3 linked regions of the Diceros bicornis minor genome follow. The protein of the gene in region 1 purifies or fractionates together with the protein of each later gene. This does not show direct contact. Links are inferred from orthologs where the notes say so. Each region holds a gene or a part of one and is shown on either strand. Other genes may lie near its edges. The genes, in order: SMARCA4, EP300 and CHD7.

What was found.
Region 2: the proteins of SMARCA4 (region 1) and EP300 purify together in Homo sapiens (affinity purification with western blotting; 4 studies listed by BioGRID, with this or other methods). This does not show direct contact. The link is inferred for Diceros bicornis minor from reciprocal best matches to the Homo sapiens genes SMARCA4 and EP300.
Region 3: the proteins of SMARCA4 (region 1) and CHD7 purify together in Homo sapiens (affinity purification with mass spectrometry; 3 studies listed by BioGRID and IntAct, with this or other methods). This does not show direct contact. The link is inferred for Diceros bicornis minor from reciprocal best matches to the Homo sapiens genes SMARCA4 and CHD7.

The regions. Positions count from the first base shown.
Region 1 is NC_080769.1:8,399,557-8,403,298, forward strand, and holds the start of SMARCA4 (transcription activator BRG1), read right to left. Parts: upstream 2,318-3,742; 5' UTR 2,234-2,317; intron 1-2,233. UniProt on the Homo sapiens protein: ATPase involved in transcriptional activation and repression of select genes by chromatin remodeling (alteration of DNA-nucleosome topology).
Region 2 is NC_080764.1:9,285,368-9,289,109, forward strand, and holds the start of EP300 (histone acetyltransferase p300), read right to left. Parts: upstream 2,444-3,742; 5' UTR 1,230-2,443; coding exon 1,136-1,229; intron 1-1,135. UniProt on the Homo sapiens protein: Functions as a histone acetyltransferase and regulates transcription via chromatin remodeling. Acetylates all four core histones in nucleosomes. Histone acetylation gives an epigenetic tag for transcriptional activation.
Region 3 is NC_080772.1:13,785,196-13,788,937, reverse strand, and holds the start of CHD7 (chromodomain-helicase-DNA-binding protein 7), read right to left. Parts: upstream 2,268-3,742; 5' UTR 1,983-2,267; intron 1,716-1,982; exon of another isoform or gene 1,673-1,715; intron 1,580-1,672; exon of another isoform or gene 1,509-1,579; coding exon of another isoform or gene 661-1,508; intron 620-660; coding exon of another isoform or gene 495-619; intron 1-494. Other genes in the region: basic proline-rich protein-like, read left to right, coding at 495-619, 661-1,508. UniProt on the Homo sapiens protein: ATP-dependent chromatin-remodeling factor, slides nucleosomes along DNA; nucleosome sliding requires ATP. Probable transcription regulator. May be involved in the in 45S precursor rRNA production.

The sequences.
Region 1 (3,742 bases):
ACAAAGTGATTTTAGGGGGCACATGGAGGAACATTTATTATTTTCATAATTATGTATGCATTTTTTTTTTTTTTGGTGAGGAAGATTGGCCCTGAGCTAACATCTGTGCCCATCTTCCTCTATTTTGTATGTGGGATGCTGCCACAGCATGGCTTGATGAGCGGTGTGTAGGTTCACACCTGGGATCTGAACCAGTGAACCCCGGGCCGCTGAGGCAGAGCACACAAACAACCACTATGCCACCAGGCCAGCCATGTGTATGCACTGATTTTAACAAAAATTAGAAATATACATACATATATACATATAATGAGCAATATTAACTCCAACAAACTGAGTGCTCACTATATGTCAGGCGCTGCAGTGTGTTAAGCCACTTTCCAGATTATCTCATTCAACCCTCACAATAGTTTGAGGGGGGTCACACCTGTTTCACCAATGGCGGGACCTACTGGTAAGTGTCTTGCTGGAGGTCAAGCCAGGATTTAGAGCTGGGTGTAAACCTGAGGTGTGATTCTAGAACTAGGACCCCCACCGCCACTCCTACTAACCACCGCCCCACTCCCCATTCCCGGGGGAAGGAGGTTTGGCAAACAATGGCCTGGAAAGTTAAAAACCCACAACAGCAACTAACGTTCATTGCTTACAACCCACTGCCCCAGTCCTGCATGGAGCTCTTCACACCCATGTTCACTCAGTGCTCCCAAGGACCCTCCTCGCTCATGGCACCAACGTTCGCTAAGGGCCTTCCATGTGCCGGGCCCAGGGTACACTGCGGGAGGCCAGGGAGACCTGACCCCTGCTCTGATGGCCCTCAGAGAGGAATGGCTGTGTAATTACAAACTGGGGGAACTTCCACATGGGAAAGGACAGGGCGACGTGTGAGTGCAGCAGAGGGGAACAATGAGTGGTCCAGGGTGGTCCACATACAAGCTGGAACATCTTCCCTGGTTCTGGGCAAAGGTCCCCTCTTCCAGGCAGCCTCCCTGATCTCTGGTTCCACTACTTCCCTGGGCGTCCACTGTGTCCCTCTCACAGCGAGGATTGTGAGGATTAGATGATAGGCCAAGGGGACTTGTTCCCACATCTATCGCCTGTTCCCCTACAAGACTGGAAAGGCTCCACAGGGCTCCAACCCCCAACCATCTGACACCCAGTAGGGACTCAACAAATAATTGCTGAGCAACGGACGGAGATTGACCAGACAGTAACAACGGTGCTTCCCACTTGCCAGGAACCATTTTACAGGCCTTCACCAACTCCACTGGTGGCATTATCCCCATTTCAGGAAACCAAGAGGTTCAGAGAGATTAAGCTATTTGCCTAAAGTCACACAGCCAAGTGATGGAAGCAAACTCGAATCCGGTATCAATTCAAACTGAAAACTTGTCTCCAATTCCAAGGAAGCGGATCTTCCAACTATTCCCTACTTTCCCCAGGGAGTCACCGGGGAGAAAAATCAAGACTGGTGTCTTGAAGACCGGCACAAAACACTCTCCCGAGAGATCCACGTTTTAAATTACAGTCTTAATCTGGAAAATCATTTGGGAGGAAGGGAAAAGGATGCAAACTAAAAACAATGCTTTCAACAGCAAACAGTTCCCCCGGCCCTCCCCCACTTGCTGCCGACCCCCCACTTCAGAGCAGACATTCTGAAGTCACTTCTTGCAAGGGATTGGGGGAGTTACTTCTCTTTTCTTGAAAATCTACAATATGTGGCTTTTGTAGAATAAAATTTCAGGGCAGCTCATGCTCGTGTCCAGTTGATGCTGGACACGTCTGGCGTTTCCCTACTGAACCCCGATCGCGGCCTCGCCAAAAAGGCAACGTTCGGGTCCGACCCGTTACAACGTAGCCAGAAAAGCCCCGATGCCGGGCTATTGTTGCAGCCGCGGCGGAGACGGCGACTGGGGGCTGGGCCCTGGCCGGCGAGTCGAGGGGGCCGCGAGCTTTGTCCGGCGCCCCCGGCGAGAGCGCGCACGGGGGGCGCGCGGCCTCCACGCGGCCCGGGCCCCCACCCCCCGGCCCGCGGATACTGCAGCCGCCGCGGCCTCGCTGCACTGTGGCCTGCCCCGCGCGCGCGGTGCCGGCCAGGCTTCTTGACCCTCGGGCGCCGCCGTACCCCGGCCCCGCTCTGGGCGCCGGCGGCCCCCTCCCCCCTCGGCGCCCCGGCTCCATTCAAACCGCCCTCCCAGCCCCGCGCCGCGCTCCCCCCGCGGCCCGCCTTCCTTACCGGGAGCTGCCGGCGCCGTCGCCTTCCCGGCGCCGCCCCCGCCCCTCCGCGCGGGGCCAGGGGCAGAGTGGGCGTCTCGCGTCTCCTCACGAAACAAAGAAGCCGCCGCCGCCGAGCGAGGGTAAGCCTCGCGCGCGCGCCCGCCTCGGCCGCCCCCCCACGCCGCCCGCGCCCCCGCTGCGCGCGCACTCGCCGGCTCCCCTCCCCCCCCACAGACTGCCTCTCCCGCTTCCGCCGCCCGCCCGGCCTCGTGCGCGCGCCCGCCAGCCCTTCCGCTCCCAGCGCGCGTGCGCGTCTGCTCGGCGCTGGGGGGAGGTGGGCGGGGCCCGAGAGAGCCAGCGCGCCCGACGCGCCTCCCGACTCTGTCCCGGATGCTCCTGCGCCTGCGCACCGGGTGTTCCGCCTTCGCACGCCGGGCGTCCCCACGCCGCGGAGCATGCGCAGAGCGGGCGGCACTGCGGCGGTGGTGTGGCGGCGGTGGTGTGGCGGCGGCGGTGGCGGTGGGAGGTTGGGGGATGGGGCTGGGTGGCAGCGGGGTCTGCAGTGAAGGGATGGCCGAGGGGCCCTGAGGCTCGGAAGTGAGGACTGGAAGCTGGGCGCGAGGGCAGGCGGCGGGCAGGCTGGGCCGGGGAGGAGCACGGGCGGCCCAGGGCGGGCCGGGGAGCCGCTTTCACCCTTGGTGGGGGATGTTGAGGCCTATTCGGCGGGACCAGGCGGGGCCCGACCGCGGCCGCCTTTTCTGCACAGCCTCCGGGATGCCATTAATTAGCTTAGCAAATATTTATGGACCTGCTGCTGTGGCCCAGGCGCAGGTGCTGCGGCCGCAATCAGAAAAACCTCAGCCGCTGCGGCGCTCACGATCCGGTGGGGGAGGCAGGCCAGAGAAAGAAGGAAAATGCGTTGTGTTGAGAGGGGGACGTGAGGGTTGTGGGAGGTTTAAATGGGGCAGCCAGGGGAGCCTCGCTGCGACGAAGACGTTTGAGTCTAGACAGGAAAGCAGTGCGAGAGAGAGCCTTGTTGCAAGTGTGAAGGCCCTGAGCCTCCAAACCTCTTCTCTGTGATTTGAAAGTGTCCGCAGCGTCATCTTTAGCCCCGCAGCCGGACAGCCGCGCCCCCTGGGACTGTCGCTACCCCTGCTGCTCGCGGGCCTGCCCTTCCTCATTTTTCAGGTCCCAGCTGACTCACTGCGTCCTGTTTGATCACTGCCTCCTTTTTCCCCTTCCTTCACATTTCTTGGGTACCCTCTTGAGTGACTGTCTTTCTCCCTTCAATGTCAATGGCAAAGCTGTTGTCAGTTTTAATCACTAGGGAATACCAGCATCTAGCGTAGTGCCCCCATTCACCACATACTAGATACTTGAAATTTTTTTATTGAAGGAATGATAGAGACCGATTGTCTGCTGAGTGCGTCCTGTACCTGCATCAGCTCGTTGACTCTTTCCAAGTCCAAGGTGAGTCACTTGCAGTATAGAGCAGAAGGTGAGACCTCATGCAGGCGTCCAAGACCTG
Region 2 (3,742 bases), on another chromosome or scaffold:
CCTCTTCATTATCCTGGCACCTCAAACAACTATGACAGCAAAAGAGAAGGTCGGGGGCCATCAGAATAGCACCAAACTAACTGTAAGAAGAGGACGATGGAAGGAAGTCTCCCAGACTTTCTCCTGACAAAAGGCTAGTCCACAACTTTGTGAAGCAAAGAATTTGTAGAGCCTTGTTAAACTGAAATCTTGATCTCCAAATACGTTTAAAAGCGTAAAAAAACAAAAACACACAAATAGAAACCTAATGCATATTTTAAACTTTTGTATGATCAGCTCATGCTTGCAGTTCATGATTGGGGCTCTTTCAACTTCTAATCTTGATTTCCAAGTACATAACTCCACAAAATCGATTATATTTTTCCTGCGCCCCCCCAAAGAAAGTGACAACAAACTGCAAAGAAAATGCCTCTGCTCTCTCCCACCCTAAAAACCCAGAGTTTCAGACATTTTGGTCTCATACCAAAGAAATGGAAGATGTAAAATGAACTGCGCTCCATATTGATTCTTAAAGCAAATAAGAAGATTAAAAAAAAGAAAAAAAAGCTAGGAACGGTAGGTAAAATAATTCAAATCAAATTTCAGTTTTGACGTTAAAACTCACGTCAAACCTGAAATCCTGCATCTCACACACACAAATAAACAAAACCAAGATTTTTTACACACTCATACTCAGCAGAAAATCTCGTGCAAAGAAGAGAAAATCTTGAAAAGGAAGAGTCGAAAGTAGAGAAAACAGAATAAGTGCAATCAAAGAGAAAGGACTGGCAATTCCTCATTTATCAACAAATTAAAAGTAGGGTTGCATAAAAAACCCTTACACGCAAATGCACTGGCATTTCCAAAATTAAATTCCATGGGAGCAACAATAAAGGCCATTTCTACAGCACCACTCAAGAACTCTAATTCCAGAACACACATCGATATGACATAGTGTTGCAACCAATGTATTAGGAAGCAAAGAAAATGGTTGGGCTACTGGACGTCTTTGACCAGCTCATTCAAACACCTTTAAAATTAATCAAGAGGCAGAGAACTAGGAAGAGAGAGAAAGGAAGAAAATCTGGAAGAAGAAAGGTGCACCGAGCAGCAAAGATTCAGGGGGATGTGGAGGGCCAGGGCTCCCGAGACTAACCTGTGCCATCGCTGGCCGACGCCGAGAGGGCCGGAGATGAGAGTTTAGGCCGCTTGGCTGAAGGCGGCCCCGGTTCCACCACATTCTCGGCCATTTTTAATTCTTTCGGAGATACAGGCGAGGAAAACGAGAATCCTCGGGCAATCTCTTCTTCAGGCCGGGGTCCCCGCCCCGCTCCTTGGGGTGGGCTTGGGGGGCTCCGCCGGCCCCCGATGGGGGTGGGGGAAGTTCCTTTTTCTCTTCGCCGGGTCGCGCTGGCCGAAGAGGGATGCGGACTCGATAGAAAGGTAGGGGCAAGTGCGAGGGGCCGGGCCTGGCCCAGGCCCGGAGGAGGGTACAGGAACACAAATCCGCCGAGCGCGGCCGCTGCGGCGAATTCCCGAGAACTCGCGGCTCTAGAGGCGCAGTCCCCGGCCCGCCACGGCCGGCCCCTGCCCAGCCGAGGTCTCTCGGAGCTCCGCCGCCGCCATCAGCCTCTTCCTCCTCGGCGCTGTCCTCCTCCTTCTCATCGCCACAAGGAGGCGGGGGCGAAAAGGGGGGAGAGGAGGAGGCGACGAGAGACACTCACCTCCTCCCGGTGCCCCCTCCCGGACCTGCGCCCCCACCCTCCGAGCCTTCCTCCTGCCGCCGCGCTCCGCGCCGCCGCCGCACCGGCCCCTAATGACCGCACAGAGCTCGCCCGAGCCGAGAGCCAGGCTGGCGCCGCCGCCTCACATCGCGCGGCGGGCGGCGGAGGCGCGGCGAGGACGCCGGGCGCGGAGCTCGCCGGCCCAGAGGGCCGAGGGGGCCGGGCCGAGCAGCGCCGCCCGCCCGCGCCGACGCCGAGCCCACCGAGGAGGCCCCGCTCCGGCGGGCGGCGCAGGCGGCCTCCTCTCCCGCGGAAAATAAATAAATACGGCCGCCGCTACGGCCCCCACCCCCGGCGGCCAGGTGCCGGGAGCGCCCGCCCCCCGGGGCTCCGCTCGGGGCCGCCCTCGGCGGCAGGCGAAGGCGCCGCGGGGCGCGGGGTTATGTAATGGTCCCCCCTAGGCGTCGACGCCGGCCCGGCTCCCAGGCCGCGGTGGGGGTGTGTGCGGACGGGAGGGGGCTGGGGGTCGCTCAGCCCGTGCGCCCCGGGCCCCCTGCCACTGTCTCGGCCCCTGCCGCCTCTCTCCGGCCCGGCTCCCCTCCGCACTCTCGCTCTCGCAGTTCGCACTCAGCCCGGCGTCCCGCTTGCCCACTCTGGCCCGCTCGCTCTCGCCCTCTCTCCCCCCCAGCCTAGCACACAAACAAGATGGCGGCTGTTGTTTCTTCCCTCTGCCGAATCCTCCTTACAGGCTAGCGGTAGCAGCGGCGGCCGGAAATGAGCCAAGGGGGGGTGAAAAGAAGGGGAGGGGTTGGGCCTCCGGAGGGAGGCGGCGAGGGGGCGGGGCCTGAGCCCGAGCCGCTCACACAATGGGGGAAGAGGACCCGGGGGCGGGGCTAGCTGCAATCACGGGATCCGCCCAAGGCCCCAACGCGGTTGGCGCTTCCGCAAACTCCCCCGGCGTCACCCGGTGGCTCCCTTTAAAGGGGAGGATTTGAAGGGGGGGTCGGGGGTGGACTTGCATCTATTTTCAGTCGGTGGACACTTACGGGGGAAGGTGCCTGGGTTGGGTCTCCGCGTAGGGACCGGTGGGAACCGCGGGGTGACGGAGCTCGGGGGCGACGCCGGGGAAGGCGCCAGGTCACCGCGCAGGTGGCCGAATGAGAGCGCCGTGGGGATGGCCCTGCTTCCCGGGCCCTTGGGCGGCCGGTCGTGCGAACCTCGGTTGAATCCAGCCGGCAGAGGGTACCCCGCCGCCCCGTGTTCCGGGCCAGAGACCCAGTGCGTCCTCTCTCCTCCATCGTTTTCCGAAAGGGAACGGTTCACGTCCAAAAATCACGCTGATTACGAGTTGTTTCCCTTTTCTCTGAATTTTACAATTTTTTGACAGTGAGCATATATTATTTTGATAATCAGAAAACGAAAACCACAGCAGTGGGAAGATGTTTTAGCACCAGACCTAAATTCGTTTCTTGCCCACCACGGGTCCACTTGCCTCTATCAGCCCTCTCACCAAAGGAGCCTGGAATTATTTTTCTGAACACGTCTGGGACCTGAGGACATTTTAGGGTATTTCTTTTCACCCACCCGCAACAGACCAGCTTAATAAAAGACCACGTTTAGACAGCGCCTTAAAGATAATGTAATTATGGAAAAAAGCGAAAACGTAATGTGCTAAAGGTAATGTAAGGATGGAAAAAAGCAAAAATGTAACGATGGAGAAAAACACTTGAATATAAATAAAGTGCAATGTGTGTGACAACACGGTTTTGCAGAGGAGAGCCTCGCAGCATGCTTTCACATTCCTACACATTACAGGATTCCGCTGTGTTTGGCCTTGGGTAAACTGCAACTTGAGGAGGTGGCAAGGTTGTTGGTGTTCCCCAAGGAAACCCCCAATCCAGTATCTATGGAGATAGTTAAAAGCTTTTTAACATATTTCAAATCTCATGCTCCTTAGTTAGTGTTTGCTTATTATTGTTTACTTTGGTTTTTGTTGTTGGCTTTTTAAATGAATGATGAGAATAAGAACCTAGGAGCGA
Region 3 (3,742 bases), on another chromosome or scaffold:
TGTAAGGAAATAAAGAGAAGTTTCTTTTTTCTATTTGATTATTACGTATAGGGAGTACTCCCCCCTACCCTTATGGGGAGAGAATTCGGGGGAAATACACTCAACCTCTTTGAAAGGTATTGCCCACGGCAAAGACGACTTAAATTAGTATTTTTAGAAAATAAAAATCAGGGCCTTCTCATAATCCTTTAAAAACAGATTAAAATATTTAATATATCCCAGAAATCAAGCCCAGAGGATGGACACATTTCAAGATAAGTTATTTAAATCGACTGCTAGATAACGCACAATGGGAAACTAAAAAGTATACTTAGCAAGTGGAGAGCTGGATAGTGTATCTAATTCTAGCAATTCAAAAGGAAACTCTCCATGTGGGTTGCTACTTTTCTTTTGTCCATTGTCTGTTCAGAAGACTGGGAAAAAAACTAGTTTAAAATCGAGGCGTGAACAGTCTCTAAAAGTGCCCTCTGAGAAAACCGTCCGACCCACTGCAGGAGCACTCCCCGCGCCGCCCGCTCCACGGGGGCGCTCACAAAGCGGGCGGCCGGCCCGGAGTTCGGGGTGCGCTCCCACGGCGCGGGGCTCCTCGAGGCAGAGCCATCCGGAGAAAGGCGGCTCGGTAATGATGGCTGCTCGGGGCCGGCGGCTCCTTCCCCGGAGCCTCCCGACCCCCCCACCCCTCGCCTGGGACCCGCCGCCCCCCTCCCCCGGGCCGCGCTCGCCCCGCGCGGACGCAGCCACCCCGCACCGCAGCCCACAGGGTGCCCGCGCCCCCGCACCCCCGGCGAGCCCAGTCCCCGGTGCGAACCAAACAAACAACGCGTCCCCCGCCGCCCTCCTTCCTCTCCCCGCTGACCGCTTGGCCTCCAGCCACCTCGGCCGTTCACGCTCCGAACGGCGGATCTCTGCGGGGGCAGAGCGCAGCCGGGCCACCTCGGGGGCCACCTGGTGACCCCCCCGCGGCGCTGACCCCGGCGGCCTCGGGGGTGGGGGAGCCGAATTGCCTTCGGGGGGTTAAAGTCGTTATTATGCAGCCGCCACCGCCGTTGGCCGGCCAGCTCGGCAAGGTGGGGTCCCCTCCTCGCCGCGCCTCCCCGCGCTCTCCCCGGCCCCGCTCCCTTTCTTCTCCTCCTCGCGCACTTGGAGCCGCCGGGGAGCCCCGGGAGCCCCCGGCTCCGGGCTCGCAACTCCGCGCCCGCAGCCGGCACCGGCCGGGCTCGGGACGCCCCCAGCGCCGCGTGTTCGCGCCGCCCCCGCCCCACGCGGCGCCCCGCGCACTTTCCCCGCCGCCGACCCACCTCGCTCGGCGGCCGTCCCCGCGCGGGCCGGCGCCACCGCGCCAGGAGGGACGCACTTTGTTCGCGCCGGTGCGGCCGCCGCTCCCGGCGAGCGCGGCGTGGTCGGTCCGGAGCGGGGGGCGGGGGCGGGAGGCGGGGGTCGCCGCCGTCCCCGAGCCGCCGCCGCTCAGCCGCCCCGCGCCCGCGCGCCCATCGCCCACTCGCACTTGAGTTGCAGCCCAACTTTTCCTCCTTCCTTTTTCTTTCGAAGGGAGCCGGCAACTCGTGCTCGGCGCCGGCGGGAGGAAACGCGCTCGCGCTCCCCCGCGCGCAGACACGCTCCCTCCTGTCCCCCGTCCCCCCCTACGCCGGCAGCACAACAAAAAGCCATTTACATGCGAGGAAGTGACCCTCGGCCGGACCGCGCGCCCCCGCCGCCGCCGCCGGCCCCGCGGACGCAGGCAAAAGTTGGGGCGCCGGGCGGCGCTCGGGGCGCGGGTTCGGGCCCCGCGGGCGGCGACGCCGGGACACGGCACGGGCGGCGCTGCGCTCCTGCGCCGGCCGGGCCCCCGCCCGCCCGCGCCCCTCGCCCCGCACACGCCCAACTCCTCGCTCCCAACTCCGCGCGCGGCCCCGGCCCCGGCCCGGAGCGATTTCCTGCCGCCGCCGCCCCTCCCGGAGGCGCCGGCGAACTCTCGCGCTCACCCGGTCGGTCGGTCGGGCTCCTCCGCCGCCCTGCGCCGAGCGGAAAACAAAACGCAGAGCGGGCTCCGGAGTTGGCTCGGCGGCCGCGGCCAGGGGGCTGAATCCACGGGCGCGGACTTGGCCGGGGGCGAACGGGGCTCTGGCGAGTTTCGGGGTCTCCGGGTCCCCGGGCCGCCCCCTCAGCGGCGCTCCTTTGTGTAATTTCACTCGATTCAAGTTTAATCCGATAGTTCCCGAGCACGAGCGCGGCCGCACTACCACGGCTCAACCCCCGCGCCGCCGCCGCCGCCGCCGCCGCCGCCGCCACCGCTGCCGCCGCCGCCGCCGCCGCCGCGGCCCAGCACGCCAGCGCCTGCGCGCGCCCGGCACGCCGCGCGCGCCCGAGGCCGCGGGGCCGCGCGCGCCCGCCGCCGGCTCCCTCCGCGCCGCGCCCGCGCCCGCGCGCCGCCACCTGACGTCAGGCGCGCCTGGCATAATTTATGCAAGAATTCGGCCGGGGTGGCGGAGGCCGAGGGAGAGGGGGCGGCGCGGGGCCGCGGGCTGCGGAGGGCGGGCCGGGCGCCACTTCCCGTCCCGGGCGGGCGCCGGCGCTGCGGGCGGCTCTCCCGGCCGGCCGGTGCGCGGCCGCGCCGCCTCTCTGGCGGGGCTCTCCGAGCGCTCGGGCGCCGCGGCAGCGCCCCGGGCGCGGGCTGGACGCGGTGCCACGTTTCCCGCGCCGCACCTTCCCGGAGTCGGGGTGCGCCGCCCCGGGGCAGGAAGCGGCGGCTCCGCGCCGGCAGCCGTCCTCTCGGCCACAGCCAGGGGGTCCCAACGCGACGCGGACGGCGGCGGCTCGAGCGGTTGGATGTCTATTCTGTAATTAGCCTTCAACTTGGAATTATTTTCCCACATGCAGTCATCTCCAGTGGACACACTCCATTTCAAATAGTTTTCTCCGGCCTCTCCACATCGCTTTTCCTACCTCCTGGTTGACGGGACAGCGGGATCCACTAGTAAATCAGAAAGTTTAACTAGATGGCGTTGATTGTGTTGAATGTGTTACCATGCCAAAAAAGGGAGAGAGCGCAATGGTTATGAAACAAAGAAATAGGTTGTGTGCCCATTATTAAACGTGTCAGGACTAGAATGTTTTAATCATTCTTTGGCCAAAATGGCACTTTTATATGGTCTCCTAGCCTTACATATCGAAGCCTCGTATTCTATTTCTCTTCCCGGTGCAAAAATGAATATTAAACATGGAGAAATTTTTTTTTACTAGTTTTCCTTTTAGGAAACAGATCTACAAACATTTATCAAGCACCTTCTATGTGCAAAACACTGAGCAATTACAAATCTTTTAGGCTGTCAATAGTTGTACACTTTAAGGTGATTTTATTAGGTTAAAGATTACATTCCTTTTTAAATCAAGGAAGGAAATTATATCAACCAAAGATAGTCCTATAATAGACACAGAGTAAAGCCACTTGCTATTGTTGGACTCCAAAATAAACTAAGAAAATTGCAAAACTATGCAAACTATGTTTTCTCCCCACTCACCACCTGTAGTGCTAAGACCGTAATCACAATATTTCTATTTGAACAAAAAATTAATCAAAACTATTTTGTTGTTTAACTGCTACAACTATTCAATAACTAAGTTTGATTATCTAAGATTTAATCACTAAAATATTTATTTTCCTAATATTAGTAATAAGTTCCTAAATATTTGTTACATTATAGTGTCTATTGAAATACACTGGTTTTGGCTTCCTTTCATCATA